Oryctolagus cuniculus: one gene and its partner. The protein of the gene in region 2 purifies or fractionates together with the protein of the main gene of each other region. This does not show direct contact. Links are inferred from orthologs where the notes say so. Each region holds a gene or a part of one and is shown on either strand. Other genes may lie near its edges. The genes, in order: EMB and SLC16A11.

What was found.
Region 1: the proteins of SLC16A11 (region 2) and EMB purify together in Homo sapiens (co-immunoprecipitation; 3 studies listed by BioGRID and IntAct, counting the BioPlex papers as one, with this or other methods). This does not show direct contact. The link is inferred for Oryctolagus cuniculus from reciprocal best matches to the Homo sapiens genes SLC16A11 and EMB.

Annotation. Positions count from the first base shown.
Region 1 is NC_091445.1:71,364,794-71,369,189, forward strand, and holds the start of EMB (embigin), read right to left. Parts: upstream 2,933-4,396; 5' UTR 2,801-2,932; coding exon 2,695-2,800; intron 1-2,694. UniProt on the Homo sapiens protein: Plays a role in the outgrowth of motoneurons and in the formation of neuromuscular junctions.
Region 2 is NC_091448.1:51,740,252-51,744,577, reverse strand, and holds SLC16A11 (monocarboxylate transporter 11), read left to right. Parts: upstream 1-1,273; 5' UTR 1,274-1,595; exon of another isoform or gene 1,596-1,600; intron 1,601-1,806; 5' UTR 1,807-1,812; coding exon 1,813-2,014; intron 2,015-2,230; coding exon 2,231-2,374; intron 2,375-2,459; coding exon 2,460-3,227; intron 3,228-3,313; coding exon 3,314-3,546; 3' UTR 3,547-3,596; downstream 3,597-4,326. UniProt on the Homo sapiens protein: Proton-linked monocarboxylate transporter. It catalyzes the transport of pyruvate across the plasma membrane.

The DNA of each region.
Region 1 (4,396 bases), on a different chromosome or scaffold from region 2:
ACAGTTGAGAGGGAGAAGGGAAGGAGGAAAGAAAGTAACAACTGCAGGTGGCATTCAAAATTCAACAAATCTATAGCCGGCTAATTTTTAAGTTGATAATTTTGTGTGGTCCATGAATGATGTGATAAATACCCAAATGGTCCTTGGCAGAAAAAAGGTTCCCCACCCCTGCCCCAGAACTTCATAAGATGACCCCATTTGGAGATAGATAACCAAGTTAAAATGAGATCATTTCAAGTAACTTCACTGCAAACATTTTTCAAAACATACACATAATCTGCTCCCCCAATTGGTTCTCTGGAATAATAATAATGATGGTGTTTAAATACAAACAGACACGTAATATTTCTCCTTCACAGAGATATTTTATATGTCATACTTAATTTCAAAGCCCTAAAAGAGTGAAGCCACGACCCTGTGCCTAACTTCATTCCAGGCCTCAGATGTCAGTATGTCCTCCAGCTCAAATCAGACATTTCAACTCATACGTTGCACTGTCAAAGTTCCAAACGTTCACAGGCATAACCAGTCACTTTCCACTATTGTATATTGTATTTAAGCTTTGTGTTTAGGAAAGCAGGTTTTGGAATCAGATTAGCTATTGCTAAATTTCCTGCTCTGCTGCTTAACCAAGTATGTGTACTTGGGCAATTACTTAACCTAAACCCCAATTTCCTCATTTGAAAGCCAGGAACAATGAAATCTAACTCAAAGAGCTATGAAATAAATAGTGCAGTCCCTGCATACATTTGTTATATAACAAACATAGTAAATATGTTACATAATTACATAATAAATCTGATAACCATTTTTATTATTGTAATTTGCTCCACAGCCTGAGGTTAACACAACACGTGTCTCCAAGTAGTTCAAAGCATCTACATAGAAAATGTCCAGCAAGCCTCAAGAAGATTCTTCATCAAACAGGAAACTGAATCTCATGGAGATTAGTGCAGAGTCAAGAGAACAAGCTGAGGTTGCCTGACAATTTGTAATTCTAGCTCAAAATTAGATACTAACTCATGCCTTTTAAACGGCACATTGTTTCATAATTTTAACTAAGAGGAGCTACAAGCACAAGACTTACACATATTTCCCCCTTTCATTCACTCTAGTTATCGATATCTTCATTTATTCCACCTACTATTATTAGTTATTAATAATACTTATTATTAATACTAATACTTATTACTAATTAATACTTATTACTAATTAATACTTATTACTAATACTAATTATTAATACTTATTAATAATACTACTTATTTTCTCTAAAGAGGTCTATCTGCTCTGGATATTAACTTAAATCTGATGCCAACAGAATCGCTATCTACCTAATAGTACAATCTCTTGTCCTATCTTTTAAGGGAGTGGGTTCCACTCTGCTTATGTTAGAATCATATGAAGCAGTTCCTGAACTTCCTAATATCTGGGCTGAATTCCAGGGTAAGTGAATCTGCTTCTGCCAACAGCACCCACGCATTTGCGTTGTTAAATCTCTCTGGTAATTCGGACACAGCCAAGGAGAATCACGATTCCAGGATCAACCCAGAATGCACTGCTTCTCAGAACTTCAAGATTGTGAAGCAAACAAATCATGAGAGCTACTCAGAGAGGGAAAATACCCTGGAGATTCTCTACAAATGGTGTAACTGAAAAGGGATAAGGGGTGTGAAACAGCCCAAACGGTTTACCTTTGAAAAGACACTGTTAAAAGAGTGAAAAGTTTATCATTTGATTATCTTTCCATCTTTATGGTATGTTACCAAAAATCTCTGTGGTATCACCTCACAACAATATATTCCTGTAAAAGGGGGAAACCTTTGTTTACAATAATGTCCTGATTTTGGTAACTGGTGGTTGATTTTTACCAGTTTGAAGGATGCCGGTGGTGTTATCCTCACTGACTGCTAATGCTAACAGATTTATTAACACAGACACTTGCATTAGAAAGTAAGCTAAAGCTTTGGAACAGTTCGACATAAAAAGTATAAACAGGTGATGCTGAAGTGGCAAATTTGCTGTTGGCTTTGGTAAGGTTTTGCACATAAATCTCTCTGTTGCTTCAGTGTCTTAAATAACAAAGCCCAAAACCATCACTACCAAAAAATAAAAATAAATAAAATGTTTTTTTTCCCCAATGACCATAATGTGAAAATTAGACAGACACATGATCCTACTGTAAGGTGTGGGGGCTTTGTCTGATTCGTTATGACGTTTCTTCCACCCAGCTCTAAAACCCAGCCTCAAGGCCAAGTCACCTGCCTGGAAGAGGAGGAAAAGCAGTGACATTTGAGCCTTACCCTCGATTTAAGTGAAGGGAGCTGGCCTTGGAGAATGTGACCCTTAGAAATCCAGACACCCTAGCCCCGCACCCACCCACACACCCGTCGCCCTCTTCCTAGGCTAAAAACAGCCCTGCCTAACACCAACACCCCCGAACTGCCAGACGTGGTCCTTTGGAGTCGCCCCACAGAGCCCCGGGGAGCCAGAGCCGCCCAGTTCCCTCGCTCAGCAGAGGTAGCCCGAGTGCAGCCAATGGGAGGCCGCCGGCACCGCCCAGCACCCGCCCGCGCCTGCATCCCCGCGCCTCTCCCCATCGCCCCTGCCCGGGATGCCCACGGGGACCCAAGCCTCGCGCGCTCCTCCCTGCACTCCCTGCACGCTCCCCAGCCGGCCCCTGTTCCCATCACACCTGTAGGCTGGCTGTCCGCCAAGCTCGGGCGCGCTGCAAGGAGGAGGCACAAGAGGAAGTGCAGCCGGGGCGCCCGGGGACACTGAAGGCCAGTGAGGGCGCGCATGGCGCTGGCGGGTCCGCAGCCGTTCTCGTCGAGGCTGCTACCGCGGTGAGTCGCCGACGGTGTCCGGAGCCCTGGCGCACACTCGCCGGTAGTCCAGGGCCCACTGCCAGTCCCGAGGGCAGGACACGCGAGAAAAGGCGGAGTGGGAGGGGCCCAGCCGCCCTGCCCTCCCCCCACCCCCCCCCCCAGATGCTCTCACCGCGCCCGGGGCCGGCCCAGCACTGCGCCCGGCCCTCCATCAATTATGCAGCCGCAAGCCGGCTGCGGGCGCGCCCGGGTGTGTAGGGCCGCGGTGCTGGCGCATCCTCTGGGGCCTCTCGCAGGTCGGAGAGGGAGCTTGGGGTGCGACAGCTGAGCTTGACCTGAGAGAGGTTGAACCCCCACCTCGGAGACTCTCCCTGGCGTTCGTCAGAGGCCAGTGCCCGAAGGAGAGGGGAGAGGACACTTTTCTTCCCCCCCCGGACATCATCAAGCTTCCTTTTGAAAGAGGTTCATTGTTTGGCTCGTGCGGGGCGCGCTCCAGGTGCCCTACAGTCTGGCTCTGCGCTCTGCCTGCCAATCACACACACCCTCCCCTCCAGTCCCTGAAGGCTTAACTGGTTCTGTCCAGATTAAAGTTCCAGAAGCCCAAGGCCCCACAGTGTATCTGTCCTTATTTTCCTATTGTTTGCTTGGCCTAACAGTTTCTGAGAACCACCTAGAGCTCAGGAAACAAAACCTACAGTAAGGAGATACTTTGTAAACAGCACCCAGAGGCTGGCCTTAGCCTACAGAACGGGTGTTAGGTAATGCTGTGCCGTACACAGCAAGGCAATGATGATTGCTCAGTGCTCCCGACCACGTTAAAAGAAAAAAAGTAGAAGAAAAGAAAAGAAACTAAAAATCATTGTTGCATTGGGGATAAAAAGGAGAACTCCACATTATAACATCAAAGAGCAGTAAGATTTGATGATTCATCGGGATGTAAGAACACATTAACAGATATTATGAATTTTGAAGATTAAGCTACAGAACAAGAGAGCTAAACCTACCCCACAGAGGTGGTTCATTTTCAGTTGGTAAATATTAGTAAAATGTGCTTGGGGCAAAACTTTGAAAGAGAGGATAGATTATTCAAATCGGCATTAAAGAATATGAAGGATACTATTTAATCAGCAATATTAAGTACTACCAAATGCCAGGCACTGTGCTCAAAATAGACTGCGTTTACAGCAAGGAGCTCATGCAAGATAATTAACCCAGAGAACTATTGATCTGAGGACTACCAGTCTGTGAAAGGCCACTACTTGCCAGGAAATTATGCTTATGATCACTTAACTTTCCTGAACAGATCCTCATGAGAGGCCATGAAGGACCCACAGTTACACTCTGTGACCCTCTGAACACCTTCACTGAGCTTGCTCATCCAATCAGGCTTTTGTCTTGGTACCCTGCATATAATTTCAGAACTAATTACCAACATGTCCTTATGCCTTTGGGGAGTTTTAACAATAAGTGCTTCACAGAACAAACTGAGCCTGACTGACTCTTCCCAATTAGTGCTACAAAATCCTCAAGCTCAAATTCACCCTTCTTCAAATGAGCTGACTTCATTTA
Region 2 (4,326 bases):
ACAGAGGGATTCCTCTCACAGCAGAGCGGGGCGGCAGCCACCCCAGGAAGCGGCCCCCTGTCCAGCAGGTGTCTGAGGGCCCGCGGGCCCCACCTCCTGGAGCAGCTTTCAAAACAGGACTTCAGCCTGGGGAAACCGGTGGGGCCACTTTCCTAAGGTGTACGTGGCAGGACCTCAAACCCTTCCAGAAGACTTGCAAGCGGACAGCCAAAATCCAGAAGCGAGCAAACGGATCCACGCAGCAGGTGCGAAGCTCACAGCTGATGGGAGGGTGCAAGAGGGAGGGGAAGGGGGTGGAAGGCACAGGTAGCCCAGGTCAACTTTCTTATTGCAAAAGGCCTTAAACACATAGGACAGGCATTTGGCGGCCCCAACCCCGCAGAGGCCACGCCCCCTCCCCTCGGGGGCCACCCCTCCTCCCAGGGGCCACGCTGTTTTCCCAGGCTTGGAGGTCTGAAACAGCTGTTGGTCTTTTCCTCACAGGCGGGGCCTTTCTCAACAGTTAGGAAACACTGCCATCGCGTGGCCCTCTGTTGGTAACGCGCCCACCTGCAGGCGGCTGAATTTTGTTGTGTTTAATAATGAAAGCAAGCAACACATCAGATAGGAACGGCTGAAGTAAACCCCACGTGAATCTATTTTAAAAAAAATTCGTCTTGTCAAGTTTTTGAAGAAGTCAATACCCGAGTTTTAATTCTGATTTTTTTCCTTCGCTTTTTCCAATTCTAGCCTAAGCCTAAGGTCTCTTCCAGCCCCTGTTTGAGAGTCACACACTCTTGGCTTTGCAAAGGCTCGGCCTTTTGCAGGGGAGTGTGCACCAAACGCCCCCCAGGCGACTGCCCTCCACTGCCCAGGTCTCTTCTCCCCGTGTGGTCCCGCAGCCGGAGAGACCTCCGCCTAAACACTCCTGCCACTTTTGAGCTGAGCGATTTGGGACGCTCCCGTGCTCTGCCAAGTGGAAGTGCCATCTTCGTCCTGGGGCTACTGAGAGGATGAAACTATCATCTGTGTACAGAGTGCCTGGCACACCGCGGGTCCCTCTCCCCGTGCCCTGGGGACTTGACCCCGGCTCTGTGATTTGCCGTCGGGGATCTACCTGCTCCTAGGATTTACCTGCTCTTGGGCCCCGGAACAAACCCACTCATCCCCTCAGGCCTTGGCCATCGCTCCGATTTCCGTGCGTTGGCAGCAGGCCCAGGGCCGCCTCGGGCTTGGAGCGAGCACCTCTGCTCCGCGCGCAGCTGCCGGCAGGTGCGTGGGCGCAGGCCGGGCGCGGCGGCGGGAGGGGCGGGGCGGCTCTCGGTGCCCGCCGCTCCCTATCCTGGCGCTGCCGGCTGCGTGTGGATAATTCGATCCCCGTGGGGCTCGGCGGCAGGCCTCACCCGCAGCCCGGCGGATTGGCTGCCGGTCTCGGCTCGCCCCCGCCCTCCCGTACCCCTAGCGTCCCAGGTGGCTCGGGCCCCTGCGGTGATCTCTGTTTACCGAGCAAGCCCGTCCAGGCTGGGCTCCCGCTCGGCTCTCTCCCCTCCGGGGCCCCGCCCGCCCGGGAAGCGAGGAGAAAACCGAGCCCTCCCCTTCCCCCACCGCCCGGAGAGGTCGGGTAAGGGGGAGAGGGCGTGGGTAGGGGGGAGGATCCTGCCGTCCAGGCCCCCGGGGCCGCGCGCGCGCGGACCCAGAAGTTCTGCCACCTCAAGGTCGGGCTCTGGAGCCCCGCACCTGCTCGGGCATGCTCAAGACCAGCGGCTGGACCCCGGGGATGCCCGCGCCCTGGCAGCCTCCACTCACTGGCGTTTCTCCACCCCGCAGACGGCCATGACCGCCAAGCCGGCCGGACCCCCGGACGGGGGCTGGGGCTGGGTGGTGGCGGCCGCGGCCTTCTTGGTGAACGGGCTCTCCTACGGGCTCCTGCGTTCTTTGGGCCTCGCCCTCCCTGCCCTCGCCGAACACTTTGACCGAAGCGCCCAGGACACGGCGTGGGTCAGCGCCCTGGCCCTGGCCGTGCAGCAGGCAGCCAGTGAGGGGGGGCCCCGAGGGGGAGGGGGCGCGGGGGCGTAACGGCGGGAGACTCCCCGATGAGTAGGCGACCGGCACAACCGAGTTCTGGAAAAGTGTGGGGCTGGAGGCCCAGAGGAGGGGCTGTCAGGCCGGGGGTTGGGCACACTGGCCGGGACAAGCGCTGCAGTTTGGGGGCCCAGGGGGCGTGTCTTGCGGTGACCCCGCCCCTTTCCAGGCCCAGTGGGCAGCGCCCTGAGCACGCGCTGGGGGTCGCGCCCGGTGGTGATGGTTGGGGGCGTCCTGACTTCGCTGGGTTTCGTCTTCTCGGCTTTCGCGGGAAGTCTGCTGCACCTGTACCTCGGCCTGGGCCTCCTCGCCGGTGAGGGAGGGGAACGGGGTGACTGACGGAGGGCTGGGGGAGCAGGATGGGGCCGCCGCGCTCACCCCGCCCTGTCCACTCGCAGGCTCCGGCTGGGCCCTGGCGTTCGCGCCTGCCCTGGGCACCCTCTCGCGCTACTTCTCGCGCCGTCGAGTCTTGGCGGTGGGGCTGGCGCTCACGGGCAATGGGGTCTCCTCGCTGCTGCTGGCGCCCGCCTTGCAGCTCCTCCTGGACACTTTCGGCTGGAGGGGCGCCCTGCTCCTCCTGGGGGCCATCACCCTCCACCTCACTCCCTGCGGCGCCCTGCTGCGTCCCCTGGCCCTCCCTGGCGACTCCCCGAGCCCACCCCGCGGCCCCGTGGCTGCCCTCGGCCTGGGTCTCTTCACACGTCGGGCCTTCGCAGTCTTCGCTCTGGCCACGGCCCTGATTGGGGGAGGGTACTTCGTCCCCTACGTGCATTTGGCCCCGCACGCTTTGGATCGGGGCCTCGGGGGGTACGGGGCTGCGCTGGTGGTGGCGGTGGCTGCGGTGGGGGATGCGGGCGCCCGGCTGGTCTGCGGGTGGCTAGCGGACCAGGGCTGGGTGCCCCTCCCACGACTGCTGGCTGTGTTCGGGGGTCTGACCGGACTGGGGTTGCTGGCGGTGGGTCTGGTCCCCGCGACGGAGAGCGAGGAGGGCTGGGGGCGCCCCCTGCTGGCCGCAGCCGGTGCCTACGGGCTGAGCGCCGGAGCTTACGCCCCGCTGGTTTTCGGCGTGCTCCCGGGGCTGGTGGGCCTCGGCGGTGTGGTGCAGGCCACGGGGCTGGTGATGATGCTGATGAGCCTCGGGGGCCTCCTGGGCCCGCCCCTGTCAGGTAAGGGCCTGAGCCAGCGGAGTTGCTCCTAAGCACCCTGGGTTCCTGGGCTGCGACGCCCCTCAATTCCTTCATTCCTCCCTCAGGTTTTCTAAGGGACAAGACAGGGGACTTCACCGCCTCCTTCCTGGTGTGCAGCTCTCTCATCCTCTCCGGCAGCGTCATCTACACGGGGCTGCCCGGGGCGCTGCCCACCTGCCGCCGCCGGGCCTCCCCTCCAGCCACGCCTCCCCCTGAGAGGGGGGAGCTGCTCCCTGCGCTCCAGGTAGCCCTACTCTCCCCAGGAGGCCCGCAGGCCACTCCGGACACCACTTGCTGATCCGTTTCCTGTTTGAGCCCAGCCCCCAATAAAGAAATTGTATCCCATTTTCCTGATAGCTCCACCTGTTAGCCATTCTGGGGCCCTGAGGCCACTGGGCTTAAATAACCAAGATGACTGAGGACAGGATCCCAGTAGGCCCTGGGGGTGGGGAAGGGTGTTTGTCAGCCTGGTCAGTCCACTCATCTTTCTGTCCAAATCTTTGCCATAACAGGGACTCTGCCATCAGTTTCCACTGTCGCGGGCCGGGAGTGATGCTTGGAGGAGCCACCTGCTCCATGCCCCTTTCCCTTAGGGGATGACCTAGTGTCCCCTGGACATGTCACAGGGACAGCGGGGAAGAGGAGGGAGGAGCTGTGGCCCCGACAGCAGAGTTCGGGGTTCCGAGCTCCCGGAGCCCTGCCCAGCACTGCTGGGCCGTGACTCCATCGGGTCCCCTTGCTGTTTGTGAGGTGGTGGGGCTCATCTGGGTCTCCTATTCCGTCTCCTCTCAAAGGGCCGACCTTGTTTCCCACACACGCGTCTTCCGAGGAGAAACGGGACACAGCAGCAGAGGTCGTATGTAAAATGTGTCCAGTCTCCTGGCCGTGGAGTTTTACAGTGGATTCGCGGCTCAGTGCAGCGGGAACTCCTGGATCCTTCAGGGGAAGTCGAGGGAGCCAAGCGGAAGACCCCTAAACAAAATACAAAGGGTTGGCACACCCACCGTGGGAGCCCGGGGCCTGCTCGGAGGGGAGGCAGGCCCAGACTACGAAGGCATCGTGGTTCCGGAACAGGGCG